Macaca mulatta: one gene and its partners. The protein of the gene in region 1 interacts with the protein of each later gene in a pairwise test. Links are inferred from orthologs where the notes say so. Each region holds a gene or a part of one and is shown in the gene's direction. Other genes may lie near its edges. The genes, in order: CCDC33, LMO2, STK16, HNRNPF, PPP2R3C, FAM124A and USHBP1.

Evidence for each region.
Region 2: the proteins of CCDC33 (region 1) and LMO2 interact in a two-hybrid assay, tested with the Homo sapiens proteins (2 studies listed by BioGRID). The two-hybrid records come from large-scale screens. The link is inferred for Macaca mulatta from reciprocal best matches to the Homo sapiens genes CCDC33 and LMO2.
Region 3: the proteins of CCDC33 (region 1) and STK16 interact in a two-hybrid assay, tested with the Homo sapiens proteins (2 studies listed by BioGRID and IntAct). The two-hybrid records come from large-scale screens. The link is inferred for Macaca mulatta from reciprocal best matches to the Homo sapiens genes CCDC33 and STK16.
Region 4: the proteins of CCDC33 (region 1) and HNRNPF interact in a two-hybrid assay, tested with the Homo sapiens proteins (3 studies listed by BioGRID). The two-hybrid records come from large-scale screens. The link is inferred for Macaca mulatta from reciprocal best matches to the Homo sapiens genes CCDC33 and HNRNPF.
Region 5: the proteins of CCDC33 (region 1) and PPP2R3C interact in a two-hybrid assay, tested with the Homo sapiens proteins (2 studies listed by BioGRID and IntAct). The two-hybrid records come from large-scale screens. The link is inferred for Macaca mulatta from reciprocal best matches to the Homo sapiens genes CCDC33 and PPP2R3C.
Region 6: the proteins of CCDC33 (region 1) and FAM124A interact in a two-hybrid assay, tested with the Homo sapiens proteins (2 studies listed by BioGRID and IntAct). The two-hybrid records come from large-scale screens. The link is inferred for Macaca mulatta from reciprocal best matches to the Homo sapiens genes CCDC33 and FAM124A.
Region 7: the proteins of CCDC33 (region 1) and USHBP1 interact in a two-hybrid assay, tested with the Homo sapiens proteins (2 studies listed by BioGRID and IntAct). The two-hybrid records come from large-scale screens. The link is inferred for Macaca mulatta from reciprocal best matches to the Homo sapiens genes CCDC33 and USHBP1.

What each region holds. Positions count from the first base shown.
Region 1 is NC_133412.1:52,157,378-52,161,225, forward strand, and holds part of CCDC33 (coiled-coil domain-containing protein 33), read left to right. Parts: intron 1-1,189; coding exon 1,190-1,353; intron 1,354-3,848.
Region 2 is NC_133419.1:31,415,881-31,419,728, forward strand, and holds part of LMO2 (rhombotin-2), read left to right. Parts: intron 1-2,360; coding exon 2,361-2,576; intron 2,577-3,848. UniProt on the Homo sapiens protein: Acts with TAL1/SCL to regulate red blood cell development. Also acts with LDB1 to maintain erythroid precursors in an immature state.
Region 3 is NC_133417.1:124,493,006-124,497,383, forward strand, and holds STK16 (serine/threonine-protein kinase 16), read left to right. Parts: upstream 1-1,238; 5' UTR 1,239-1,340; coding exon 1,341-1,426; intron 1,427-2,313; coding exon 2,314-2,533; intron 2,534-2,769; coding exon 2,770-2,903; intron 2,904-3,071; coding exon 3,072-3,192; intron 3,193-3,318; coding exon 3,319-3,414; intron 3,415-3,835; coding exon 3,836-3,957; intron 3,958-4,063; coding exon 4,064-4,202; 3' UTR 4,203-4,229; downstream 4,230-4,378. UniProt on the Homo sapiens protein: Membrane-associated protein kinase that phosphorylates on serine and threonine residues. In vitro substrates include DRG1, ENO1 and EIF4EBP1. Also autophosphorylates. May be involved in secretory vesicle trafficking or intracellular signaling.
Region 4 is NC_133414.1:55,882,388-55,886,770, reverse strand, and holds the start of HNRNPF (heterogeneous nuclear ribonucleoprotein F), read left to right. Parts: upstream 1-1,356; 5' UTR 1,357-1,433; intron 1,434-4,383.
Region 5 is NC_133412.1:108,239,429-108,243,875, reverse strand, and holds the start of PPP2R3C (serine/threonine-protein phosphatase 2A regulatory subunit B'' subunit gamma), read left to right. Parts: upstream 1-1,498; 5' UTR 1,499-1,529; coding exon of another isoform or gene 1,530-1,587; exon of another isoform or gene 1,588-1,650; intron 1,651-4,447. Other genes in the region: PRORP (mitochondrial ribonuclease P catalytic subunit), read right to left, coding at 1-240. UniProt on the Homo sapiens protein: May regulate MCM3AP phosphorylation through phosphatase recruitment. May act as a negative regulator of ABCB1 expression and function through the dephosphorylation of ABCB1 by TFPI2/PPP2R3C complex.
Region 6 is NC_133422.1:30,450,480-30,454,891, forward strand, and holds the start of FAM124A (protein FAM124A), read left to right. Parts: upstream 1-1,438; 5' UTR 1,439-1,574; coding exon 1,575-1,642; intron 1,643-4,412.
Region 7 is NC_133424.1:17,736,707-17,739,338, reverse strand, and holds the end of USHBP1 (harmonin-binding protein USHBP1), read left to right. Parts: intron 1-130; coding exon 131-253; intron 254-1,743; coding exon 1,744-1,933; 3' UTR 1,934-2,005; downstream 2,006-2,632.

The sequences.
Region 1 (3,848 bases):
CCCAGCTCTGCCATCTTCCCTGAGTCCCCACTGCCTCCCCAGTCAAAATGAGCCACCTCTGGGCCTTGGAAAGCTCTGCCCTTCCCGCTTGCTGCCTTTGCTCCAGCGTTCTGCTTCTGGCCTGTCCTCCCTGACTCCACTCCTGCACCTTCTTCCAACCCTTTAAGGCCTCCTCCTTCCTGCTGTCTTCCCTGACTGCCTCAGCCACCCAGAGCTCTGTCTTCTCTCGGCAACTCTCATCACAATGGTCCTTTGGGCCATGAATCCACGAATTACTAAACTGCTGAGTCCCTGCTTGAGGCAACTGGCGTAGGAGGCCCCCTGCATGGGCAGGCACCTCTTCCTCCCCAGTCCACAAGGTTCCTGGGTAGAAGACAGGTGGGGCATCTGGGACAGATGCACGAATTCACCTCCATGTGCACTGAGTGCCCCCGTGGACGTGGAGAAACTTTGTCAGCTGTAAAGTGCTGTGCACAGGAGGGGCCTGAGGTGATGGGTGGGCTGAGCTGAGGTTACAGGATAGACTGAAGAAGGTGGCCCATTGTTAGAACTGCAAAAGCAGGTGAGATTTAGGAATTACAGACAAGGGCACCTGCGAAAGCCAAGGCTTAGAAGTGGGACCAGACTTGAAAGGTGAGGTGGCCTGTCTCATCCAGCAGGAAGGGTAGGATCCAGGGCTGGGGGAGAGGCTGAAAGGCACTGCAAGAGATGTGGGATGGGAACAGAAGTAGGGAGAAAATGAGGCCAAGGCGACTGACTTACAGAGTGGGCGGAGGGGTGACAGAGGGAGGCAGGCACTTGACGGGAGCTGTGAGGGGCTAGATGCTAGAGGGTGGCAGTGAAGGGAGGTGTCGCAGCAGAAGAGGCCACTCAGGGCCAGGTGTGGTAACTCATGCCTGTAATCCCAGCACTTTGGGAGGCCGAGGCAGGCGGATCACCTGAGGTCAGGAGTTGGAGACCATGGGGAGACCCCATCTTTACTAAAAATACAAAAATTAGCTGAACGTGGTGGCATTTGCCTGTAATTCCAGCTACAGGGGAGGCTGAGGCAGGAGAATTGCTTGAACCTGGGAGATGGAGGTTGCAGTGAGCCAAGATGGCACCACTACACTTCAGCCTGGGCAACTGAGCAAGACTCCATCGCAAAAAAAAAAAAAAAAAGGCCTCTTAGCCCTGGCTTTCCCCACAGAACACTGAAGACCCAGAGGAGCCCCTGGTCGCCTCCCAGAGCACGGAACCTAAGATGGGTCACCTGTCTCCCTCTAACAAGGAGACCATCACGGTCACCCTCCATGGAGCCACCAACCTGCCTGCCTGCAAGGATGGTTCCGAGCCATGGCCCTATGTGGTGGTGTAAGTAGCTGTGTGAGAGTGGGGTCAGGGGATGGGTTGGGCTGTGAGCAGAAACCAGGGGACAGCTATTTGGAATATGAGCACCCAAAGGCCCAGGACTGGGTCATACCCAGAGGGGAAGAGCCACTGTGGGCACTGCCTGGTATCTCCAATGCTGCATGGGAAGCTGCTCACCAGGGCTGGGGAAGGCAGGGTGCCAAGGAGTCCAGAGAGTCACCCCTCCCCACCCCACCCCAACGGGGCAGGGATTGGCCACAGCTCAGCTCCAGTGGGGCAGGGCGCTTGTATGCAGAGGCCTGGGCTGGGCTCATGGGCATGATGGTCAGATTGGGGAAGGGGAATATTTGGGGCCTGCCTCTCCTGACTTCTGGGTGCCCCACCCCACCATACCCAGCCCTGGGGTAGGGTCTTCATAACCACCCTCCCCTCCCCTCCTTCTCCAGTCACTTCTATCATGGGGACTCCCATAGTTCTGGGCCTTTAATGCACCCCACACACCCCCTCCAGCCAGCTGCTGTCAGGGTACACACTTCCCCAGCCTGGCGCCAAGGCTTGCCATGCCACATCTATGCCCACCTCACGGGTCTCACTTCTTCCAGAAAGGCACCAAGTGGCAACACAATCTCCATCCAGCCAACCTTCCCTGGGGACACTAGACATGTGCTCAATCTTTACTATAAAGCACCCTCCAAGGAGCACATCAACCCTATACCCCTTCTATAGACAGACGGTGGGAGCCTTGGTGGCCTCCCACCAAGCCACCCTATACTTCCCCTCCCCCAATACTAGCACCATTCAGTTCCTGCCAAGAGTCTGTTGCCCACATTTCCTTTTGGGGAGTGCCTGCCCCAGCCCTCTCACCAATGCCTGCTGAAATCCTGCCTTCAAAGCCTCCTCCTCCAGGCAGCCACCAGAGTTGAGCTCTCCCTCCTCCGGAGCACCACAGCAGTGGTGACACTGGTCTGAAGTACTTTATATCGATATGGTTTATGCACTCCTCTGGGGCTCCCTGAGGACGGATCTCCTCCTCCATTTCCCCCAACAATGCACCCAACATAGGCCTGAGCCCAGACTTAGGGGCCAAGGAGTGACTGAGGCCAACACCTGGTTACTATGACAAGTCCCTGCCCCCCCAGCACCCCACTGTGAAAGAGGGATAGAAGCTGTGCCGAGTCCAACAGGTGAAACACTTGCCTCAAAAGCCCCATTTGTGCCAGCCCAGCTCCTCGGCCCTCCCTCCCCCAACTCCATTTCCGTGGTGAGGGAAGGACAGGTGGCGGGAGCAGGCTTGGCAGGGAGGCTGTTTCTAGCGGGGAGCTCGCCTTCTCCGCTCAGCTATTTCCATAAACCAATTATCGCCGATCATCTCGGGAGATTGAGGCCCTGACTGTCACCAATCCAGCCTGGGCGGCGGGGCGGGGAGCTGGGTGGCCGCGTGGCTCCTAGGCAGGCACCGCGACCCGCGCCATCACCCGGTTGCCATGGGAATGCGCGGCAGGAGCCTAGGCGACCCGAGCCTGGGTGGGGATAAGAGAGCCGGGCACACCCCAGTCCTCCTGCGCCCTCCCTGTGGCTGCAGCACGTGGGGCGGGAGAGAGGGTGGGGACAGAGAACGCGGGGAAGGGGGAGGGGAAAGCACGTCGCTGCACCCCTCTCCAGCTGGGAGCAGCGCCTGGGCCAGGCTGCAGCCTGCGTCCCAGGGCTCCAGAAAGGTGGAGCTGCCACCAGCTCGAGGTGGTGCTAATGAGATGCAAATGAAGGGAGAAGGAAGGGCTTCTGAAAATGAGGGCCCAGCTGTCAGGACCTGAAGGGGGCTTTCAGTGCTGGCCGCCAGCCCCAGGCAGGAACCCCAGAGGGAAGATCCAGATCCTCAGAGGCCATAGACCCTGGAAAGAATTTTATATCCCTGCACATCTGATTACAAATACACAAGTAACAAAGCACGCAATAGGCATAAGAAAGTTCACAAAAGTTTTCGTTTTCTTCATGATGAATACTTCAATGCTTTTTTAAAAATATGTATTTATTTGTAAAGACTTAAATGTAAGACCTGCAACTGTAACATCCCTAGAAGAAAACATAGGGGAAAGCCTCCTTCACATTGGTCTTGGCATTTAATCTTTGGATATGACACCGGAAGTACAGGCAACAAAAGCAAAAATAAACAAGTGAGACTGCATCAAACTAAAAAGTTTCTGCACAGCAAAGGGAATAATCCGCAAAACAAAAAGGCTGCCTATGGTATGGGAGAAAATATTTGCAAACCATGTATCTGATAAGGAGTTAATATCCAAAATATATGAGTAACTCATACAACTCAACAGCAAAAAGACAACGCAATTTAAAAAATGAGAAAAAGACCCAAATAGACATTTTTCCAACAAAGAAATACAAATGGCCAACAGGCACATGAAAAGGTGCACATCACTAATCATCAGGGAAATGCAAATCAAAGCCACAAGGAGATATCGCTTCACACCTGGTAGGATGGCTGT
Region 2 (3,848 bases), on another chromosome or scaffold:
TGTGAGTAACAAGAGCAGTTCATTTGAATTCCAGGCAGTTTTGCACCAGCTAAGGGCAAATTATCCTCTTTCACAGTCCTTTGGCAGCATCTGCATCGGGACATCCAATGTCTGTCGAGGTCCCATGAGTGGTTTTGAAAGCCCAGAGTAAGACCATGGGCTGTGGAAAGAGAAGAGATGCAATTCCGAGTTGATACACATAAAAACGCTAGGGTATTACTTATTAGAAGGGAAAATGGCAGTCCTTATATACAATCTGTAGAAACAAAGGAAAGAAAGCAAGGCTTCAGTGAATGAAACCCTGTCTCTACTAAAAATACAAAAAATTAGCTGGGCCTGGTGGCGGATGCCTGTAATCCCAGCTACTTGGGAGGCTGAGGCAGGAGAATGGCGCGAACCCAGGAGGTGGAGCTTGCAGTGAGCCGAGATCGTGCCACTGCACTCCAGCCTGGGCAACAAATTTGTAGCAAGACTCTGTCTCAAAAAAAAAAAAAAAAAAAAAAAAAAAAGAAACTATAGTTTTGATTTTTTTGAGCTAGGGTCTCACTGTGTTGTCTAGGCTAGAGTGCAGTGCTCACTGCAGCCTCAACTTCCTGTACTGAGGTGATCCTCCCACCTCAGCCTCCTGGGTAGCTGGGACTACAGGCTCATGCCACCAAGCCTGGGCAATTTTTTATATTTTTTGTAGAGACAAGATTTTGCCATGTTGCCCGGGCTGGCCTCAAACTCCTGGGCTCAAGTGATCCTCCTGCCTTGGCCTCCCAAAGTGCTGGGATTACAAACGTGAGCCACTATGCCTGGCCATTTTTCTTTTTTCCCAGATAAACTAACTTGAACTTCACATTTTCTTGTTCCAAAGATGATAATCTCATGAAGTGCTATTACACTGTATCTAGAAAGTGTGGGCATGGCTTTAACACTTCTAAATATTCACAAGAAAGGCTTCATTCTTCACATGACAGAATCCTCTGAAGTTGTCAAGAGTGTTATAGACATTGAGCCACCTAGCCTCCTGTCCCCAAGTATAATGACTGCTGGGCTTTGTGGGCTCAGACCAATTAGGACACAAGGTCACCTGGTAAGTTAGTACTAGTTAGAAATAGGAGACGTGGATTTATACCTGCAGGGCACCCAGGAGGAAACTCCCTTTGGGAATTTTACAGTTGGAAGAAGGTCTGGTTTTTGAAACATAATAGATTTTTAAGAAATAGATTTGTGTTTAAGGTTCCAGAGAACACTTGCTAATTATTACAAATCAACAAGTATTAAGTGTTTCCTGTGTCCCATTTGGGGGACACTAGAATAATTCCTTCCACTCGTTTATTTTCTTTTAGCAAAATTATTTATTTTTAAATGTTAAAAAAGTACTCAGATTCCAGTGAAGCAAAGTGAACAAGAGATACTATGCATGGCACATTAATGAAAGAACGCGTGTCACAGCCTATTAACAATTGCTGGATTGAGATGTCAATGACTGTTTAATTGCCTTCCACTCTCTTTGAAATAATCATTGCCCCCACTTCATTTTCTTCCTCAAATCAACTTTATCCGAATCAGCTTTACTGTTATAAAAATGTTCAGGTAAGGAAAGAAAGGCCTATTTGATGTTCTTCATAAGTGTAACAATGGCCTTACAATATGGGATTTTCCTCCAAGTATTCCTTCAGTAGGAAGAATGGAAAATGGAATTTCTGTAAAAGAGTAAAACTAGGAGAATTCCTATTATATCCTGATGGAATTTTTATTTTGGAAAGAGAAAGCAGCCTAAAATAATTTTTGGTCTCATTCTTCTTTCTTCCTCACCTCTGCTTTTGTGCGGGTGGGAAGGGCTGGAGGGAGGATGGCACTTTATTCAACAGGGGATTTGCAGATTCTTAGCTCTCTGGGTCGTCCGCTGCCCTGGTGGTGAGCGACTCTCTTAGTCCAGGGTGCCGCCTCTGAGGTTAGGCAGTGCCCTTGGGTCCAGGGTATAGGAGGAGGAAAATGAGGGAAATCTGTGAAGACAGAGAGGGAGAGTCAGCGGGGAGAGAGGGAAAAAGCAGAAGGAGACCAGAGGTGCCCAGGTAGTGCTGGGCATGGGCCAGGGGCACAGTGCCACCTGCAGTTGCCTTTGATGCCTCTTGGTGCCTTGTGTTGACTTCTTAGAGATCTAGGGAGTAAGGTCTGGCTCTCTCCCGTCTTAACCCAAGGTTGGTTGGGATTCTGCAATCTGGCCAAGGGATGTGTTGTCCTGTCCCTTCTCCCTTAGGTCACCAAAAGGCAGTCAGGTGAGGTACCCTGTCTGGCCCAAAATGATCTGGGACCCCCGGTGCTGGTCTCACCCTGGTGAGGCTGTCCCTGATGCTTGGCCTTCTCTCCAGGGAACCAGTGGATGAGGTGCTGCAGATCCCCCCGTCCCTGCTGACATGCGGCGGCTGCCAGCAGAATATCGGGGACCGCTACTTCCTGAAGGCCATCGACCAGTACTGGCACGAGGACTGCCTGAGCTGCGACCTCTGTGGCTGCCGGCTGGGCGAGGTGGGGCGGCGCCTCTACTACAAACTGGGCCGGAAGCTCTGCCGGAGAGACTATCTCAGGTACTCTCCGCGGCACTCCACTGGGGCCCTCGGAAGGGAGGCTGGGGGGTCCTTGGACATCTGCAGTCTGTGCATGTTGCCCCCGACCCTGTTCCAGGCTTAGACACCACCTATAGAAAGAGGTCAGGCTGCAGAAACTGAGTCTCAGCTCCCCTGCCGAGAAGCAGAGGGCATTTCTTCCTGTTTGAGAAGCATATTTTCAGGGTTACGTTCCTATGTGGTAAAATACTAATATCTTTAAAGGCAAGAGAATTGTAACCCCAAAATTCAGAGTTGTTCCCTTGGGGAGCGGGAGAAGCCAGGGGATGGGGTTGAGGAGGAGTACGCACGGAGGATCAGAGGAACTGGGAGTGTTTCTAACTTAGGAGGTGGGCTCTGAGGACCTCATTTGAATGCTTCAGAACACACACACACACACACACACACACACACACACACACACACACACACATATATATGTTATAAATATTCTTTTGTATGACTCCAGTATTATATGATGAGAAATTTAACAATAGAAAGCATGTGGAGCTCCAAGCATTGACTCATAGCAGAAAGGCGGTCTTTGAAGAACAGAAGGCAAAGGCCCTGCAGGCAGTTGGAGGTTCGAGTCCCAACACCGTTGCTTCCTAGTGGCCTTGGGAAAGTTACTTAACCTTCCTAAGACTCGATTTCCTCATCTGTAAAATGGGGATCATAATAGCACCTACCTCTAAGGATGTGGGGAGGATTTGATGGAATAATGCAGATAAACTACTTGACTCGGTATGGATCAAATAGATGTTAGCTGCTCTTATAACTTATCCTTATGACGTAATCATTATTTTCCAATCTAATGAGCAAAGGGATGGAAGAATGGAAGGGTAAAATAGGAACTCGACCACGCCAAGTAAAACAGGAGCTGAGGACATCTCCCATGCTTCCGTTGGCCATCCGAATTTTCCAGCACTCTGTGAATGCCTTTGCCTAGAATGTACTAGCGTTTCTAGTTTTCGAGGAGCTGCTGTGGAGGTAACTCTCTGTGCCCTCTACTGTCAGATCTGCTCAACTGTGTAGCTGTCAGGATTTCTCCGTCTTCCTGGAGCAGAGGGTCTATGAGGCATGCTTCCCTGATGCACCCAGACCATCCAACCCATGGAAGCTTGTTGAGACCTCAGCGCCCTTGGCTGCTGGGCCAGCTTTTCCCCTCGAACCTGCCCTCGGAGCATTTGACGTTACAGAAACAAAACCAAACCGAAAAACTGCAGGCAGTTTCACAGTGAAGGAGGCTTTACC
Region 3 (4,378 bases), on another chromosome or scaffold:
GGGATGTGAAGATCAGGGTAATAATAATTACTGTTTATTGACATGTACTGAAGGCTATGTGTCAGATATTGTATTAAACACTGTACATCTAATTTAATCTTCAAACAACTCCATGAAGTAGATAATTATCATTTCCATTTTACAGAGGAGGAGAGGAAAGGAGGGAAACATTAAGTAGCCTGTCCAAGGTCACACAACTACGTTAACAGAGCTGGCGTTTGAACTAGTCAGTCTGGCCTCACAGTTAAGCTACTTAACATTAGGTACTATTATACCTATTTTACAGCTACTAAAAGTAAGGATCCGAGAGGTTAAGTAACTTGCCCGAGGTTACACACCTAGTATGCTATTAACACTCAATTTAGAAACTGAAAGTCTGGTTCACAAGCCTGAGCTCTTAACCACTGAGAGTAGAGGTAGTGGGATACAGGCCAGAGCCCGGAAGGTTGTAAGGGATCAGGAGACCAGGCCACCAGACCCGCCCCTACCTGGAATCCCCTCCGGGCTGCAGTGTAGTAGCCGCTTTCTGCCCCAGAGCGCCGGAGGTATGAAGCCTCCTACCTCCAACATTGGGAGATGGAGGTCCTGGGGGCCTCGGGCCGAGCCCGGCTTTGCTCCCCTTTGGCGCAGATGCCTGCGTCTTGACCCCCACTGAAGGCCAAGTAGAGAACCCTCACCAGGGTCCTGGGACCCGTCCACCCCTAGACCTAGCTCGCCCTGGGCCTCTCAGCTCCGCGCCCCCACATCCTCCAGATGCCCAGCGGTTGCTAAGATACCGCGGGCCGTTACGCCGCCGCGGACTGATGATGTCAGCACTGCTTCCGGTCGGTGGCGCTTCGCTCTGTCCCGAGCCAGGTCAGTCGGGGAGTGCAGGCTGGCCCATTCCAGACTCTGGGCTCCTAGGCCGGGGGTGGGCCCTGCCAGGAGTGGGCGTGAGCTTCGCACGTCCTCTGAAACTACGCTGTGCTCTGTCTTTGCGGCGCGACGGGTGTGGGAGCGGGGCCTGCCCAAAGGTGGGCTGGGGTTGGAGGAAGTGGCCCGGTAGCCGCTGTGTATCCTGAGGCCATAAGGCCCCTGACCCCCGCCGCTTGAAGCTGGCGAAGGAGCAAGGCCCATTTTCTCTAGACAATAGTGTAGGTTCCAGAGACCTGGGCCTGAGCTCTCCGCCTTGGTACTTCATGAGTCGTCTAGATTGTGCCGGACCTGTGTGAGACCCTGCCGTTGTTTTCTTTCCAGCATGATCCGCTTGGCCCCCAGCGCATCTCCTGGAAGAGCCCACTCACCCTGGACGAGCTCTTCGGTAGCCTCAGACTGTCCTTGAAGAGGATGACTGAAACATTATGGGCCACGCGCTGTGTGTCTGCTCTCGGGGAACTGTCATCATTGACAATAAGCGCTACCTCTTCATCCAGAAACTGGGGGAGGGGTGAGTGTTTGGAAGTCAGTTAACTAGGCCTCAAGGTTGTGGTCATTGAAGGAAAGCGGTGTGCACGTGCTTGGGGCACAAGGGTTTTATCCCTATCCCTATCTCCTCTCACCTGACAGAGCCTAGCTACACAGCATCAAGAAGGTGGATTCTGGAGCCAGGCCTGCTAAATCCACCTCATGTGACCTTGATAAACCATGTTTTTTTCATATGTTTAATGGAGATGATTATCATCCCTCACTGATGGAGTTGTGAGGATTAAATGAGATAATGTGTATAAAATGTCTCACCCAGTGCGTGGTTCTTAAGTACTTGATAAGTGTTGGCTATTATGGGCCGGGCGCGGTGGCTCAAGCCTGTAATCCCAGCACTTTGGGAGGCCGAGACGGGCGAATCACGAGGTCAGGAGATCGAGACCATCCTGGCTAACACGGTGAAACCCCATCTCTACTAAAAAATACAAAAAACTAGCCAGGCGAAGTGGCAGGCGCCTGTGGTCCCAGCTACTCGGGAGGCTGAGGCAGGAGAATGGCGTAAACCCGGGAGGCGGAGCTTGCAGTGAGCTGAGATCCGGCCACTGCACTCCAGCCTGGGTGACAGAGCCAGACTCAGTCTCAAAAAAAAAAAAAAAAAAAGTGTTGGCTATTATTTATTTAGCATCTGTCACGTGCAGAGGTCTCTATTACGACCATAGGACCTCAAAGATTTCTGTATCTCTGCTCCTGAGGAGCTCACAGTGTAATATTCTTCAGATTTCTCTTAGAGCCACATCTTGGGAGGGTTTCTGCTAAATGGGAAGGACACCCCACTCCCCACCAGGAAATTTCGCTAGGTCTTAGCCATGTGGGAGATGACCATGACCCTTCATTGACCCCTTTGGCCCACAGTGGGTTCAGCTATGTGGACCTAGTGGAAGGGTTACATGATGGACACTTCTACGCCCTGAAGCGAATCCTGTGTCACGAGCAGCAGGACCGGGAGGAGGCCCAGCGAGAAGCCGACATGCATCGCCTCTTCAGTCACCCAAACATCCTTCGCCTCGTGGCTTACTGTCTGAGGGAGCGGGGTGCTAAGCATGAGGCCTGGCTGCTGCTACCGTTCTTCAAGGTCAGAAAGACTCCCGGTTATGGAGGGGGTTGCAACAGAGCCACCTACCCATGGGCTATGTGAGCAGTCCAGCATGTTAGGAAGCAGGGACCATGTCCTGGGTTTGGCCACTTTAGATTTTGAGTTTGAGGTGTGTATCATGAAAGGGCTGATAGGCTTTGACATAGGGAAGGGATCAGGCCTAAGGAGCAGAGGCTCCAAAAACATCTCCAACTGTAGGGAAACTTGTGTTGCAGAGAGGTACGCTGTGGAATGAGATAGAAAGGCTGAAGGACAAAGGCAACTTCCTGACTGAGGATCAAATCCTTTGGCTGCTGCTGGGGATCTGCAGAGGCCTTGAGGCCATTCATGCCAAGGGTTATGCCCACAGGTCAGTGGGAGGACCCTGTATGCTTGCTGGGGCCCAGAGGAAGAGCCTTACCAAGAGAAATGGGAGGTTTCTGTTCTCCCAAGAAACAGCCTGTATGATTCTTTTGCTTGCTGGGATTCCAGCCTTCCTGTCCAGAGATGCTCATAGGTCACTTCTACTTCCCTACAGGGACTTGAAGCCCACCAATATATTGCTCGGAGATGAGGGGCAGCCAGTTTTAATGGACTTGGGTTCTATGAATCAAGCATGCATCAATGTGGAGGGCTCCCGCCAGGCTCTGACCCTGCAGGTAAAAAAATCTCCAGGTTCCTTTTCTCACCTGTTCCCCATTCCCACCCCTTCTGGTGCATGCCCCAGTTTGGTCACATGACCATGACGAGTGCCCCACTTTTGAGCTCTGGGATCACTGTTCCAGGACTGGGCAGCCCAGCGGTGCACCATCTCCTACCGAGCCCCAGAGCTCTTCTCTGTGCAGAGTCACTGTGTCATCGATGAGCGGACTGATGTCTGGGTGAGGAGCATGTGGGTGGGTATCTGGGTAGGGAGGGCTGTGGCTCTGTACCTGCTGTGGAGTAGAGTAGGTCGTTGGTTTCTGTTGCATGGGGCCCCAGGAACCACAGTATGTCCCCATCCACTTCAACTTCCTTCCTGGGAACTGTCACTGATACTGTACCCAGTTGCACCGGATGTGGTATAATCCCTGCCCCGAACAAGGTGAGTACAGCTCAGTATCAGTACTGAAGAGCAGGGGCTAAGCTAAGCAGGGGCTGCGGAGGCCTCCAACCGACTGGCAGTTTCTCTGTGCCCTGGTGGTGCCATGTGGCTGAGGTCAGCTTATTCTTTTTAGCTTATGTAGTCTTTTACCACAGAAGTAAGGGGAGCGATGTTATCTCCATTGGTCCCCTTCTAGGGACTAACCAAGTTATGCTCAGTCCCTAGGCTGCGTGCTATATGCCATGATGTTTGGAGAAGGCCCTTATGACATGGTGTTCCAAAAGGGTGACAGTGTGGCCCTTGCTGTGCAGAACCAACTCAGCATCCCACAAAGCCCCAGGTGAGCAAGCAACGAATGGGGCATCAAGTACTTCAGACTGCCCCCTGGTATTAGCTGGGTTGACAGATAGGTGTCATCCAGTCCCCCTGCACTCCTCCCTCCACAGGCATTCTTCAGCATTGCGGCAGCTCCTGGCCTCGATGATGACCGTGGACCCGCATCAGCGTCCTCACATTCCTCTCCTCCTCAGTCAGCTGGAGGCGCTGCAGCCCCCAGCTCCTGGCCAGCATACTACCCAAATCTGAAAAAGCAGCAGGTTGAGAAGATGGCCCCTCGTGCCTCAGAAAGAGGGTTCCCATCCCTCATTGGAATCTCTACCCATTCCATCCAGGACTGCTCTTACACTTGGGGGTAGCGGGGTCAGGACAATCATCTTAGTCCTGCATCTGCTCTTCTGCTTTCTTCCAAGAGCAAAACCTGG
Region 4 (4,383 bases), on another chromosome or scaffold:
GTCTTCCTTAAGGTGGGGTTCGGGGTGGCACTGAATCGCTGTCACGCCGGCAGGTAGCAGCGGGGTGGGGACGCGGGCTCCTTGGGCTTCTGTTTCCGGGTGCTCAGGGCAAAGGGCCGAGCCGGGGAGTAGGGCCGAGTCGGGGCCTGGCACGCCGGGAGCAGGAGGGCTTCCGGCAAAGCCGCGTGCTCTCGTCGGGCAGGCGCTAAGGACTGGGGCCGGCAGCGCGCCTGACCCCGCCCCTCGTAGGCCCCGCCCCGTGCTCGCAGCCGGGGGTTTCCATGGTGATGGTCAACAAGCCTCAACTGCCTCTGCTACAACTGCCAAGTTCCCCGCGTCCCACCCTCCTCTAGGTGCTCCGAGGGACCACCGGGGTGCCTGATGTGAGAGCGGGAGCGTAGAGACTCGGAGGCCGAGGTGAGGGGTGGCCGAAGTCTCCGACGTCGAAGGCCGCACACCCGTGACCGAGCGGGGACCGGGTCCCCCTGGGGGTGTGGACAGTGGGCCTGGGATTTGAGATTGGGGAGACCTTCCGAAGTCCAGGGCCCCGTACCCGGACTACCTGGGGTTTGGGCCTATTGGGGTGGGTGGGGCTGGGGCTGGGATTTGGGATCAGGGAGGAGAGATCTGAGTTTAAGCGCCACGCATCTGGGACCGATCGAGGACTGCACATAATGAGGGGCCGCGGCGCTGAGATTTGGGGGACGGATTCGAGGTCGAGGGGCCGGTACGTGGGACCGACGAGAACTGGACCCCCTGGGATCGGGAGACGCAGTGTCGGAGGTCGAGAGCCGCACGCCCAGATAGTGGTCCCACGCGGTGAGCACCGCGGGCTGAGATTTTGGAGTCAGGGGCTGCCGGGAAGACACGGCCGGCCGGTGCGTTAGTTCAGCCTCCTGGTCGGGCGCTGGCGACCACCGGAGGGCTCTGAAAGTGAGAACAGGCCTGGCTCAGTGGGAGGCCCAGCCGGGAGGATCTCTTGAGCCCAAGAGTTCCCGACAAGCCTGGGCAACATAGTGAAACTGTCTTTGCTAAAAAGTTAAAAAAAAAAAAATAGAAAGCCACGTGTGGTGGCGCGCGCCTGTTGTCCCAGCTACTCGAGAGGCTGAGGCGGGAGAGTTGCTTGCTCTGAGGAGGTCAAGGCTGCAGTGACAGTGACTGTGCCACTGCATTCCAGCCTGGCCGATGGGAGTGAGACCTTGTCTCAGAAGTAATAACAGTAGTAATAATACCTGAATAAAATGAAAGCCGCGCGCTCACGTGGCTGTAGGCGCCTGAGAGTTGCACAAGACTTCCTTGTGGGGAGTTGGCTCCGCCCTCCTCCCACGCCCGGTTCCCGGAGCCTTAGCTCTCTGCCCTGGGCCCATTTTCTTCCTCGGCGGCGCCGCGTGTCCTCGTAGCGCGGTCTCTGTGTTGGTCTCCTGCTCCTAGAGGTACCGTGTTTGTATCTGGGGTGAAAATCTGACTCGTGCGCGCTCTTCGGCTTAGTCGTCTTTTTTTTTTTCCCTTCTGCTTGTGTGTATGAAGCATTTTCGTCGATTCCGCCCTGCTCCTAGGAAACTTGAGGACGGGGCCCGGCTCCTGCTGCGCCGGCTGCCCCGCTCCCCCAACCGCAGAGTCGTGGACCAGGGTTTTGAGGAGCAGGGCACCCGACTCGCCCTCCCCGCCAGACCGCCCAGGTCGCGGGGACCCCTCCCGCTAGGTGCCTGGGATCCCCGCTCGGCTCCGCGTGTGTCCCGGCTGGAGGGTGGAAGGAGAGCCGAGCTCGGCCATTGCCCGCGGGGCGCCCTTCGCTGCGGCTTTTCGGTCTCCGAGCGGCCCGGGGACGAGCTAACGCGCCTCTTTAGTTTTCGAAACTGCTTGCGGGCGCTGGGGGCTCGGGCCGGCCATCTGCGTGGCGGGACAGGAGGCGCGCGCTGGCGGCTGCGCGCGAAGGGCAACGGGCGGCGACGGCGGCTTCCCGGAACCGCGCGGGGCGGGCGCTGCGCCGGGGTCAGGGCCACAGCCTCAGGCGGCAGGGAGTTCTGAAAGTGTTGTCTTCAGTCGTTCCTTTCAAAAAGTCATCTTAATTCTTCCAAAAATATACACATATAATTCTTTCTACTTATATTTTTAAAAGTTAGATACGTGGTTGTCTCTGAATTCCTAGTAAGATAAAAATTCATTGGGTTCTCTAGGTAGGTGAAAGATATCTTAAGTGCTATCCCTGAAAAGTGACTCGTTGCTTTTACAGAATTTATAAAATAAGACATTACTACTTTAATGAATGTAAAGAGAGAGATTGCTTTATTCCTAAGCAAAAAGATCTTTTGCCTTGTAGGTATTACATTCCGGTGTGCATTCTGTAGATTAGAGTCACTGCCGGCCGGGCGAGGTGGCTCACGCCTGTAATCCCAGCATTTAGGGAGGCCGAGGTGTGGGAGAATCGCTTGGGCGTCAGAGACCGACCCCGTCTCTATAAAATGATATATATATTATATATATTATTTTTTGAGACAGGGTCTCACTTTGTTGCCCAGGCTGTGTGATCTCGGCTGGCTGCCGAGATCCTCCTGTGCTCAAGGGGTCCTCCCACCTCAGCCGCCGAGTATCTGGGACCACGGGCATTCTCCAGCACGCCTGGCAAATTTTTGTATTTTTTGTAGAGATGGGGTCTCCTTGTGTTGCCCAGATTGATTTTCAAACTTTTGTGTTCAAGCGATTCTCACGCCTCTGCCTCCCAAAGTGCTGGGATTACAGGCGTGAGCCATCATGCCTGGCCACTTTTTTGTAAACTGTGAAGTTTTCTGTTAAGGGTAGCGTTACAAAGCTTTATTCAGGTAAAAATTGCAATTTATTTAAGGGAAAATAGTGAGTAAATAAAGTTACTTCTCCCACGTGGCCAGAACCTTGGAAAGTCTGGAGGCAAATGAGAGCCTAGTGCGGGTAGATGCCTGCAGGGGCTGCAGAAATGTGACAGGCCCTTTCCGTGGAGGTGACTTCTCTAATTCCCCTCCTCCACTGAGCTCTGGTTCTCTGCTCTTCGAGAGAACCACATTAGTTGATTCTTACTAGGTCCTAGAAGTTTTATTCCATTTTCTAATTACATTCTCAGGACTACTGTAAAAGGGGTTGCTATTAGCCCCAGATGAGAAAATGGAGGTTGGGAGAAGTCACGTGCCCAGGGACACAATTGGGACTGGGTCCCAAGTTGGACCGGGACACCCCTCCCCTGCCGGGGCCCTTGCCCTGTCTTAGTTCCCCTGAGCTACGGTTCTTTGGAGGGCAACAGGGTGGGCAGAGGGAGAACAGTCAGCCAAGACCACCCTGGGTTATTTTACAGCAAATCCCAGACCAATAAGGTGTTTATTAATAAATAAATCCGCAGTATTTCTAAGGACTTTTAAAATCTAACCATAATACTGCTATCATACCTAAAAATACATTCCAAAATACCAAGTTTCCAGGGTTTAAATGTTTCCGTATTAAATATTTTAAACAACTGGTTGGTTTGAGTCAGGATCCAAAGTCACACCTTATATTTTGTAGATAACTTTTTAAATTCAGAGCAGCACTGGCCAATAGAAGTATAATGTATGCTATAAATGTAATCTTATATTCTTTTTTTTTTTTTTTGAGACGGAGTCTCACTCTGTCGCCCGGGCTGGAGTGCCGTGCGGGTTTACGCCATTCTCCTGCCTCAGCCTCCCGAGTAGCTGGGACTACAGGCACCCGCCACTTTGCCGGGCTAGTATTTTGTGTTTTTTGGTAGAGACAGGGTTTCACTGTGTTAGCCAGAATGGTCTCGATCTCCTGACCTCGTGATCCGCCCGTCTCGGCCTCCCAAAGTGCTGGGATTACAGGCTTGAGCCACCGCGCCCGGCCAATCTTATATTCTCTAGTGGTAAAAGGAAACGTGATTCATTGTATTAATAATTTAACCTAACATATATCCACTATTAAAACACTTTCGTTTCTCCATGATCTTGACTAAAATAATTAAAAACAATCCTGTGAACCTGTCAAAATCCAGTGAGTTTTACACATACACATTTCAGGTGTGGTGAATGGATGCTGTATCAGTGATCATCTAGAAGTTCCCCTTTCTTAAAGGCCCCATTCCCGGTTATATTTGTCGGGTTGTCTTGCAGCATTCCTTCCCCACACTTCGCATTTTTCTGATTGTTTTTCCCTGGTGGCCTTTGAGTCTCTGTTCTTTATATTTGCTGTAAAGTGATAGTTACCTCTAGAAGTGGTGTTGGTTTTGGTTTTATTTTTGTTTTTAAAACAGAGTTTTGGTTTTGTTGCCCAGGCTGGAGTGCAATGGCAGTGATCTTGACTCACTGCAACCTCCGCCTCCTGGGTTCAAGCAGTTCTCTTGCCTCAGCCTCCTGAGTAGCTGGG
Region 5 (4,447 bases), about 56 Mb from region 1:
AGAAACTTGCTTATTACTGCCCTCCTCTTTCCTGAGATATCTGGCCTTGGCAATCAGATTCGTTGCTTTGGTATTCTGTGGAGACATTGTTTTAAGAGAAAACAACCTCTGTTGGCTCCTGATGCCACAGCTGTCTGAAAGAAAGAGAGAGACATAAGAGTGCCCTGGGCCTAGCCCAAGGTATGGGTTGCTCTTCCAAAGCTTAGGAAAGCTTCGAATACCAAACAAATAGAAAGTCATTATGCAGTGAGATCAGCACCAGATAGTGAGAGAGATGTTGGAAAAAAACCCTCTTCTATAGCAAAATTAAAGGGATTGGTGGTCGGCAGTGGAGAGTCGAAGTGCAGCTTTTTAAAAGAAGATTTGTGTTTCTTCCTTACAGACAAATCAAAGTTCTGCTTTTGGGGTTACTTAATAGCAAGAAGGCAGGTGAGTTTTCTCTATTAAACAACAATCCGGGGATGTCCAACGTCGCAAGCCGCAAACCAGGGGACAGAGCAGGAATCCTCTGGTGCCTCTTACATTCCAGTTCATGAACCTGAGGAAAAAGCACAAGAAGGAACGCCCAGTTTTACTCACGTGGATCACAGTTGTCCTGAAAAGGAACAGATTCCCACGGGAAGCTTGCTGGAAAGGGCGTATAAAGCCAAAACCGTATCCAGGAGCCTCCAACTCCAGCCCACCAGCAACAGCGGCGAAAGCCAAAGTCTAGGGGCCCTCACCCTGCATAACTCTCCAAAGACCGCAAAGCTCCTCCGATGGAGGGATGCGGAGGGAGGAGGTGGCGAGTCAGGTGCGCCAACGACTCGGGAAAGGAAGAGAGATCCAGGAAGGGCGCTGCCTAGACTGCGTACCTATCGCTGACAAACGAAGTTCACTTCATTCAACAACTCAACGCGGCACTCAGGCTTAACGCGGCCATAAACGCGGCGGGAACTACAGTGCCCACTATGCACCGCGCCAGCCCCGGCCGACTGACGAGACTGACCCGGACTTAGGCGTTCCGCCTGGGCTGGCGGCGAGGAAAAAAGGCAATTTTGAAGCATTTTGTGGCAAAAGGGGTAAGAGACGGCTGCGGAAGCGTCTACTACATTCAGGGGACCTGGAGGACTTACAGATATCCGCAATGAACAATGAAAAGAAATTGTGAAAGAAAGCGCTTCCCTCAAGCCGGAATCAATTAACTTCTGAGTCACGTGGTGCGCACGCGCCAAAGGCGCACGATAAAGGAAAACGCGGGCTTATCCTGCCTTTTAAAATCGGGCTTGGTGAGTTTGGGACGCCTCCTGAAGGGGAACCATTTTCCATCTCTTTCATAGCTTTGCCCCAGTCAGCGTGGTAGCGGTATTCTCCGCGGGAGTGACAGTAATTGTTTTTGCCTCTTTAGCCAAGACTTCCGCCCTTGTTCAAGATGGTGGTTGAGCGGCCTTCCTAACCTTTACGGGGCCTGGCGGTGCTGACGCCTGAGTTGGTAGGGGTGGAGCAGGTAGGAAACAGCAAATGCAGAAGCTGCTGCGCGAGAGTCGGCCATGGACTGGAAAGAAGTTCTTCGTCGGCGCTTAGCGACGCCCAACACCCGTCCAAACAGTGAGTTTTGGGAGGGGCCGTCCGTTGGGATGGCCCGGCCCTAAACTCCTAGAGGTAGGAGGGAGATGGGGAGGAGGAGCAAGGGGGAGCCGCACTTTCCGCTTCTGTGAAACCTCGCGACAAAGGAGGCGGAGTGGAATGTGCTTTAGGGATCCCGATAGGGTTGACCCAAACTTTCCTGGGACGGAGTCTGGGGGAACGAAAAACTTAGCCTTAGTCACTGACTTCCATGGTCTTAATCTAAACTTGTGAAGAATAACTTAGAACCCCGGATCCAACAACGCCTCAACCCCACCAGGACCTGTAATTGTCCTACCGCCTTTTTACTGTCACGCTTTTTGCTTCCCTCCTAATCCATTTTATATTTCATAATCCATTTTTCCTTTTATTTTTCTCCTTCACATTGCTTATTAACTAACCTCGTTAAATCTAGCTTTCCTATTCCACACCCGCACTAAGGGCTGTTGAAAGTGGCTGGAGAAAAACAGAACCTTGTCTCACTTTTTTTTTTTTTTTTTTTTTTGAGACGGAGTCTCTTGCTCTGTCGCCCAGGCTGGCTGGAATGCGGTGGCAGCATCTCAGCTCACTGCAGCCTCCGCCTCCCGGGTTCAAGCGATTCTTCTTCCTCAGCCTCGAGTAGCTGGAACTACAAGCGCGCGCCTCCACGGCGGGTTAATTTCTAGTAGAGACGGGGTTTCACCATATTGGTCAGGCTGGTTTCAAACTCCTGACCTCGTGATCCACCCACCTCGGCCTCCCAAAGTGCTGGAATTACAGTCGTGAGCTGCCGCGCCCCGCCGAGTTATCTCACTTTTAGTACATGTCCACTAAGCTAAAGTAGATGTTTCGGTCATGTCTACCGTGTTTTCCTGGACGTTCATTCTCCTACATTCAATTTTCATCTTCCAAACTGCCAATCTGTGTTTCCCTAGATACACTATTTTTTTTTTTTTTTTAATTCAGGCTCTCCCTCTGTTGCCCAGGCTGGAGTGCAGCAGCACAGTGACGTCTCGCTGCAACCTCGATTTCCTGGGCTCAAAGGATCCTCCCACCTCAGCCTCCTAAGCAGCTGGAAGTACAGGCACACGCCACCACATCCGCTAATTTTTTATTTTTAGTAGCGGTGAGGTCTTGCTATTTTAATAGGGCTGGTCTCGAATTCCTGGCCTCAGGCAGTCTTCCTACCTCCACCTTCCAAAGTGTTGCTATTACAGACGTGAGCGCCCAGGCAACACTCTTTTACAGTCCATTCTTCTCATCTCTTACACCTGCAGTCTGTCCTACCCACTTCTTACTTTAAGCTGATGAACTTTTTTTTAAATATATATCTCATTAAGAAAGGAGAATCAGTTGGCCGGGCGCGGTGGCTCAGGCCTGTAATCCCAGCATTTTGGGAGGCTGAGGCGGGCGGATCACGAGGTCAGCAGATCCAGACCATCCTGGCTAACACGGGGAAACCCCGTCTCTACTAAAAATACAAAAAAAATTAGCCGGTCGTGGTGGCGGGCGCCTGTAGTCTCAGCTATTCCACAGGTTGAGGCCGAAGAATCGCTTGAACCCGAGAAGCGGAGCTTGCAGTGAGCCGAGATTGCACCACTGCCCTTCAGCCAGGGCGACTGAGCGAGACTCAGTCTCAAAAAAAAGCAGTCAAAGGAGAACCTCATCTGTCCCCCTTAACGTTTCTTTCAGCCCCACAACCCCACAGGTGCCCATACACTCTGGCTTCACTGTTAAAATGATGAACTGTCCATGTTCCTATTTAAGAGGTCCTCCACTCCACCACTAGATTGCATTCTTTCTCCTGTATTCACTGACTTCCTTCCAGCCTCATCCTTTCTTTCATACATCGTCAGATTTTCCTTCTGCTGGATCATTTTCACCAGCACAAGTGTGCTATTGATATCACCCATCTTTTTAAAAGGTGGGTGGGTGGGGGGAGTGTTGTTGGGAGGCCGGGTGGCTCACTCCCAGCACTTTGGAAGGCGAAGGTGGGAAGATCGCTTGAGGCCAGGAGTTTGAGACTGGCCTGGGCAACATAGTGAAACACCATTTCTACAAAAATAGAAAGTAAAAAAATTAGCCCTGGTGGTTCTGCACCCCTGTAGTCCTAACTACTCTAGAGGCTGAGGAAGGAGGGTTTGTTTCAATCTAGGAGTTTGGGGCTGCAGTGAGCTATGATCATGACACTATACTGCAGCCTGGGTGACAAGAGTCAGACCCTGTCTTAAAAAAAGTCATTTGGGCTGGGCACTGTGGCTCACGCCTGTAATCCCAACACTTTGGGAGGCCGAGGTAGGTGGATCACTTGAGGTCCAGAGTTTAAGACCAGCCTGGCCAACATGGTGAAACCCTGTCTCTACTAAAACTACAAAAAGTAGCTGAGCACAGTGGTTCGCACCTGTAATCCCAGCTACTTGGGAGGCTGAAGCAGGAGAATCGCTTGAACCCGGGAGGCAGAGGTTGCGGTAAACTGAGATTATGCCACTGCACTCCAGCCTGGGCGACAGAACGAGACTCCATCTCAAAAAAAAAAAAAAGAGTCATTTGATCCCACATTCCTCTCCAGCTTCTGCTGCATTTCTCTGCACTCTTTATAGGAAAACTTCTCAAAGAAGTTACCTGTACTTGGCTGGGCACAGTGGCTTACGCCTGTAATGCCAGCACTTTGGGAGGCTGAAGTGGGTGGATCACCTGAGGTCAGGAGATCGAGACCAGCCTGGCCAACATGGTGAAACGCTGTCTCTACTAAAAATTCAAAATTTAGCCCGGTGTTGTGGCAAGTGTCTGTAATCCCAGCTACTCAGGAGGCTTAGGCAGGAGAATCACTTGAACCCAGGAGGTGGAGGTTGCAGTGAGCCAA
Region 6 (4,412 bases), on another chromosome or scaffold:
TGTGGGGGGAGTCTTGCAGAAAATCTGGGAGAAAATATCTCAAAAAGAAGGAACAGAAAGTGCAAACGCCCTGAGGCAGAAGAGGGCTCGGGTATCCCTCCCTGAGAGAGCTTTCCCTGCTCTCTCACAATTTGAATTATGTTCTCTCTTTCTTGGGCACACTATTCTTTTCCTTCATAGTGGTTTATCTCCATTTTGTTACACATATATAATAATAATATATATACACACACACATACACACAGAATTTGTTTAACTGTCTCCCCTCTGGATTGTAAGTGCAGTGAAGGCAAGGATCATACCTGTTGCTATTTTCTCTCATTTGTATATGCAGAGTTCACCCTCCTATTTGGCATTTAGTTATTGAATGAATCAGTACATTAAAAATGATCATTAATGACATTGTGCAATGCATCACTCACAATGTTTCTCACCCTACTTGAGAATTTTCTTTTAGAGATCAGTGCACAGGCAGGCGAATCTCCCCTGAAGAACTGGCACGCTCCTTTCTTTCAGCTAATGAGCACCAATATGTCCGTTGCTGCTCGGGGTGCAAGGAATTTTAGGCTCAGTAAGGACAATTCCTCCCAATGGTTTGGATAGGACTGTCAGAACTAAATTCAGGTTGTTCAGATTCTCCTTCCGACCGCCCTGCCAACTTGCCTCCCTCTTCACCCTCCTAATAGGAGGTGAGCCCCTCCAATAGTGATCATTAACTCACCCTGAGGTTATCCCCTTGCTGCAACAATCCGTGAATTGCAGGTTCATTCAATGCTCTAAATTATTTTTAAAGGCTTTTTTTTTTTTAAGTAGCAAAAGAATGCATGACACCTATTGTAAACTGGCAAGTTGGGGGGTGGGATGCCACTCAGATGTGTACTGAGAAAGGTGATAATGAATTTGGCGTCAGCAATTCTTCAGAAACTATAAGAAAACACCCAGGTATTCGCATTGTTCCCAAAAGGGAAACAAATCCTTCTCAGCTTTCACGATGCGCTGAGGTTGGTTTTCTCAGTGCTCCTCCCGGATCAGGAGCTGGGGAACCTCGTGGCAAGCCCTAGGGCTCGGGATTCCCGGACTGTGGGCCTGGGAGGGGCGGCTCTTCTGTGCACACTCACCCCGCCCCCACAACACATACGCGGTCACGCACCACAGATGGGCACACGCGCTCAGCACAGCCACAGTCGCGTGCAACCAGGAGTGCACACCGCACCCATTTCACACCGCATCCACAGACGCACGGGACCTCACACGCCTCGGCCACTCACGCGCACACGCCCCCCACGCGCTCACGCACTCGCTCGCGCGCACTCCCCGCGCACCGCCGCGCGCACACGCGGGTCCCGCCGGACGGCGAGGGGCGGGGCGGGCGCGGCCGCGGGTGCCCCGCCGGGAGCGGCCGGGAGAGGGCGCGGCGCGGGGTTCGCGGCTGGCGCTCGAGTTGTTTGCCGGCTCCAGGGCGGCCAGACGCTCGCGGGGAGCCCGGCCGGCTCGGACTGGAGGGAGCGGCCGGGAAGGAGCGCGTCCCGGGTCACGACGGCGCCCGCGAGCCGAGCGCGGCCGGGACGCGCATCATGGACCCGAAGGCGAGCGGCGGCGGCGAGGAGGACGACTGCGTGGACTCGGGCGCCGAGACCGGAGGGTGAGCCGCGCCGGGCCGGACCGCGGGCGGGGGGCGCTCTCCGAGTTGCGCGGCGGCTTCTCCCTGGCTGGGGACCCTCCTGATCCCCGCAATGGGACAGGGGCGCGGGGCTTCTCCTGCCGGATCCTCCGCTGCCTCCCAGGCGGGCCGAGCGATCCGTGGCTGCCCTCGGCAGGGCGGGCCCCACCCGGGGGAAGGAAAGTGGAAGGGCTCAAGGTTCAGTGCAAGCCCACCCATCCGGTGAGGCGATGCAGAGCGCCAGGCGGATGCAAAGAGCCCTTGTCAGCATCGCTAGAGACAGGAGATGCTCTTGCACTTGTTTCCTCCTTCCTCGGGGACTTTCCTCCTGTAGCTCCGGAGCACCCTGGAGTCCGGCCCTGGAGATGGGGAGAGGAGGAAAAGCAGGGTGGGACACCCGCACCTAAAGTCTTTCCGAAGTCGGCTAGGAGGATGGCATTTCTCGTTATATGGCTTCATCGTGGGACTTTAATCTGTGCTGCCGAGTCCCCTTCCTCGACTCCTCCAGTCCCGCCGAACTTCGTCACCTCTAAGTGCACCTGTCCCAGCCGGAACCGTTGGCCTGTTGTACCGGCGGGATGGAGATGGTGTTAAGATTAGGATCTAGCCCTGCCTTTTTTTTCTTTTCTTTTTTTTTTTTTTTTAAATATTCTCTTCGCTTCAGCGGACTCAAACAATGAGCTCAAACCTTTGGAGACTAATTAGTTAGTCTCCAAACACTGTTTTCCTGAGCGGAACAAAAGACAAAATGCCTTTTAGGAGATGAATGTCATTATAAAGGCTTCCAGGCAGCCCCTATATCTAAAAGACTTTCCTGTGCAGAGTCAGCACCACATCCAGGCCACGGGTACTGACCCAGGAGGAAAGGATGTCTTTTCCTATCTGGAGTAATCCTGGGGGAGGGCGGGAGCTGCCCAGACTGCAGAAAGCCTCATTCCTGAAAGGTCGGAGAGGTTTTAGACTAATCTCAGGATTTGGCAACCCTGTGAGGGCAGGTAGAGAATCTAGGCCCACAATCGACCCAGAGTTCTAACCCAACCCCGGCAAAGCTCCCGACACAGCCCCTCCTGCCCCACCACTCCTAGCCCAAATGTGGGACTTTACTCCCTAGGGCATTCACCCAGCAATGGGCTTTCTCTGTTATCTAAACTCATTCATAGCTCTCTACAGCACCCAATTATAATCTGGTGGAGTAACCTGATGCTAAATGCTAAACTCCCTTTCTTCTTCCCACTCTTTGTATAAGTGGCATGTATCAACTTTAATTGAAGATTATTGGCTTTTTTTTTTCTGCCACTAGTTAGCTGGACTATGAATAGAAGAAACAAAGCAAAATTAACCAGCTTATTTGTAGCTGCGTTAAATAAAGCGTTCACTAGTCTATTCATTTTCAATTTGCAGAGCTCACCTAAAACTGATGTTGTTTTCAAGGGCTCTGTCTTAGAGAAGGGAGAGGAAGTCCTGACCCAGGGGGTGATATCGCCCCAGGATCTAGACATCAGCATGACAGCTGCCAGGCCTCCTGGGAGGGGCTCGCCACTCCTGCTGACACCAGAGCTTCTGTTCTCAGCCTCTGTCACTAAAATGTGTAGTTGTAACAGGACAGAATTGTTTAAAGAATTCTTGGCGGGGCGCCATGGCTCACGCCTGTAATCCCAGCACATTGGAAGGCTGAGGTGGGCAGATCACCTGAGGTCGGGAGTTCGAGACCAGCCTGGCCAACATGGAGAACTCTCGTCTCTACTAAAAAAAAATACAGAATTAGTCGGGCGTGGTGGCACATGCCTGTAATTCCAGCTATTCGGGAGGCTGAGGCAGGAGAATCGCTTGAACCCAGGAGGCAGAGGTTGCCATGAGCCGAGATCACACCATTGCACTCCAGCTTGGGCAACAAGAACGAAACTCCATCTCAAAAGAAACAGAAATTCTTACTGTATCACTAGCATCCTTAAACTAAAGGTAAAATAGCATGCGTTTCAATGTATGCTCATTAGTTTTGTGTTTTCCGTATATTCATAGAGCCCTTGAATTTCAGTTATCAAAAAGCTGTTCATCGTTTCCCTACTTTTCTGGAGCTTGCCCCCACCCCTGACCCTATCCAGTTTTCACAGAGATTGTGTAGAAAGCACATAGAAAACAATAAGTTTGCTATCATTAGTATTTTTAAAATGCAAATCTGATCATGTCTCTCCTTTTCAAACTTTTATGGCTCAGTTATCTACAAATGCAAGGAATTTAACGTGGTTTATATGCCCTGGCTCCTGCTATGGAGTCCCTTCTTCCCTCCCTGGCCTTGTTTCTCAGCAGGTCCTTCTATGCGCCTTGTATCTAGCCACATCTGACAGGTTTTTCTGTTTCCTCGCCTTTGTCAGGCTGCCCTCTTTGCCAGCTCTGCCCTCCCCACCTGACATGCCTGTCTGCCAGGTGAAACTCTACTCTTCTTTCAGGAATCAGCTCAAGTGACACATCAGCTAAGGCAGTGATCCTTAATTTGGGGTCCATGAATTGCTTCACGTTGTATGCAAATGATGTGCTTCATGAATTTGTATGAGAAGAAACTTATTTTTTTTAATCAGATTCTCAAAGTAGCTGGTGATCTCTTCCAAACCAAGTTTGGGCAAGGTCTGAGACATTTCATTTTCAACACACTGTGTCTGAAGTGTTGCGAGACATCCAAGTAAAGATGATGAATCAGCAGTTGGGTATATGTGTCTGGAACTCAGTAGGGAGGTCCGCATGATGACGTTGCAGT
Region 7 (2,632 bases), on another chromosome or scaffold:
AGCAGAAGCTAAGGTGTACCCCTGTGTACAGGTGTGTTTACATGACAATACTGTGGGCAGGTGGGTAGGAGGAGACGTGGGAAATAGGATGGGCTAGGGCTGTGAGCCCTCCTCTTCCCCTTCGCAACAGGACGCTGGACCTGCGGGAGCAGCTGCAGTCTCTGCGCAGGGAGCTGGAACGGGTGGCTCAGAAGGGGCGAGCCAGACGGTCTCAGAGTGCCGAGCTGAACAGGGATTTATGCAAAGCCCACAGGTGGGACCCCTGTTCTGCATCCCTCCAATCCCCCTGGCACCATCCCCCACCAGGATCTCAGAAGTATCCCTGGCTCTCTCTGGGCCTTAGCCTTCCCCGCTGCCCCAAAATAGGCAATAAAGGCCAGGCACAGTGGCTCATACCTGTAATCCCATGTTGGGAGGCTGAGGCTGGCAGATCACCTGAGGTCAGGAGTTTGAGACCAGCCTGGCCAATGTGGTGAAACCCCATCTCTACTAAAAGTACAAAAATTAGCTGGGCATCTTGGCACATGCCTGTAATTCCAGCTACTTGGAAGAAAGGAGAATTGCTTAAACCCAGGAGTTGGAGGTAGCCGTGAGCAGAGATCACACCACTGCACTCCAGCTTGAGCGACAGAGCAAGACTCTGTCTCAAAAAAAGAAACAACAGGCTGGGCCAGGCACAGTGGCTCATGCCTGAAATCCCAGCACTTTGGGAGGCCAAGGCGGGCAGATCACCTGAGGCCGGGAGTTCGAGACCAGCCTGACCAACATGGAGAAACCCCATCTCTACTAAAAATACAAAATTAGCCAGGCGTGGTGGCGCATGCCTGTAATCCCAGCTACTTGGTAGGCTGAGGCAGGAGAATCGCTTAAACCCGGGAGACAGAGGTTGCAGTGAGCCAAGATCAGGCCATTGCACTCCAGCCTGGGCAACAAGAGCAAAACTCCATCTCAAAAAAACAACAACAGGCCGGGCGCGGTGGCTCAAGCCTGTAATCCCAGCACTTTGGGAGGCCGAGACGGGCGGATCACAAGGTCAGGAGATCGAGACCATCCTGGCTAACACGGAGAAACCCCGTCTCTACTAAAAAAATACAAAAAACTAGCCGGGCGAGGTGGCGGGCGCCTGTAGTCCCAGCTACTCGGGAGGCTGAGGCAGGAGAATGGCGCAAACCCGGGAGGCGGAGCTTGCAGTGAGCTGAGATCCAGCCACTGCACTCCAGCCTGGGCGACAGAGCCAGACTCCGTCTCAAAAAAAAAAAAAAAAAAAAAAAAAAAAAAAAAAAAAAACAACAACAAGAAAAAACAGGCTGGGCACAGTGGCTCACACTTGTAATCCCAGCACTTTGGGAGGCCAAGGCAGGCGGATCACCTGAGGTCAGGAGTTCAAGACCAGCCTAGGCAACATGGTGAAACCCTGTCTCTATTAAAAAATACAAAAAAATTAGCTGGGCATGGTGGCGGGTACCTGTAATCCCAGCTACTTGGGAGGCTGAGGCAGGAGCACTGCTTGAACCCAGGAGGCAGAGGTTGTAGTGAGGGGAGATCTTACCATTGCACTCCAGCCTGGGCGACAAGAGCGAAATTCTGTCTCAAACAACAACAACAACAACAAAAAGACCAGTTAGCTGGGACCCTGGGAGACCCAATGTGAAAAAGCCCCCATTCTGGGAGTGGGAGTACATGGCCCCTGCCTTGGGTGGAGTCGGGGGCTATTTCTTGACCCAGCCCACCCACCCCTTCCAGCGCCCTGGTCCTGGCCTTGCGAGGAGCCCACCGGAAGCAGGAAGAGCAATGCCGGAAGTTGGAGCAGCAGATGGCACTCATGGAGGCTCAGCAGGCTGAGGAGGTGGCGGTGCTCGAAGCCACTGCAAGGGCCCTGGGGAAACCCAGGCCGCCCCCCCCGCCTCCCCAGCTTGGGGATACCGTTCTGTAGGCCCCTTACCCAGCCATGTCTGGACATGCCAGACCGCTGTGGCATGTCATAAACTATCCTGGAGTGACATCATGTCATGTTGCATGATTTGGCATGTTGGGGCACATTTGGCATGAGGGAAGCTGGTGCACATGGGTGTCCAGGGCCTGATGGGTGTGGCCACGCAATGCAGAAAGACTTGGGTGTCTTTGGCCTGGCACCAAGTGGAATGTGAACTTCACATCAGTGGGGTCAGGCCAGAAGCAACCTGGGCTGTGGGACCAGGTCTCTGGGACTGACGAATTTTGGAGGTCCGTGAGGTTGCATAGCCACAGCTGAAGTTCCAACTGGCCTGTCTCCTGAAGCCCAGGGAGGGATTCATGGGGACTGGACAAAGCTTCTCCTGGCAGCTCCTTCCCAAGGAGATGCTGGGTTTGGCTGGCAGATTTTCCTGAAGGGGGCCGGGCGCAGTGGTGCACGCCTATAATCCCAGCACTTTGGGAGGCCAACGTGGGTGGATCACTAGAGCCCAGGAGTTCAAGACCAGCCTGGACAACGTGGTAAAACCCCATGTCTACAAAAAAAAAAAAATACAAAAATTAGCCAGGCATGGTGGCATGTGCCTGTAAAGCTATCTAGGAGGCTAAAGTGGGAGGATCACTTGAGCTTGAGAAGCAGAGGTTGCAGTGAGCTGAGATCACACCACTGCACTCCAGTCTG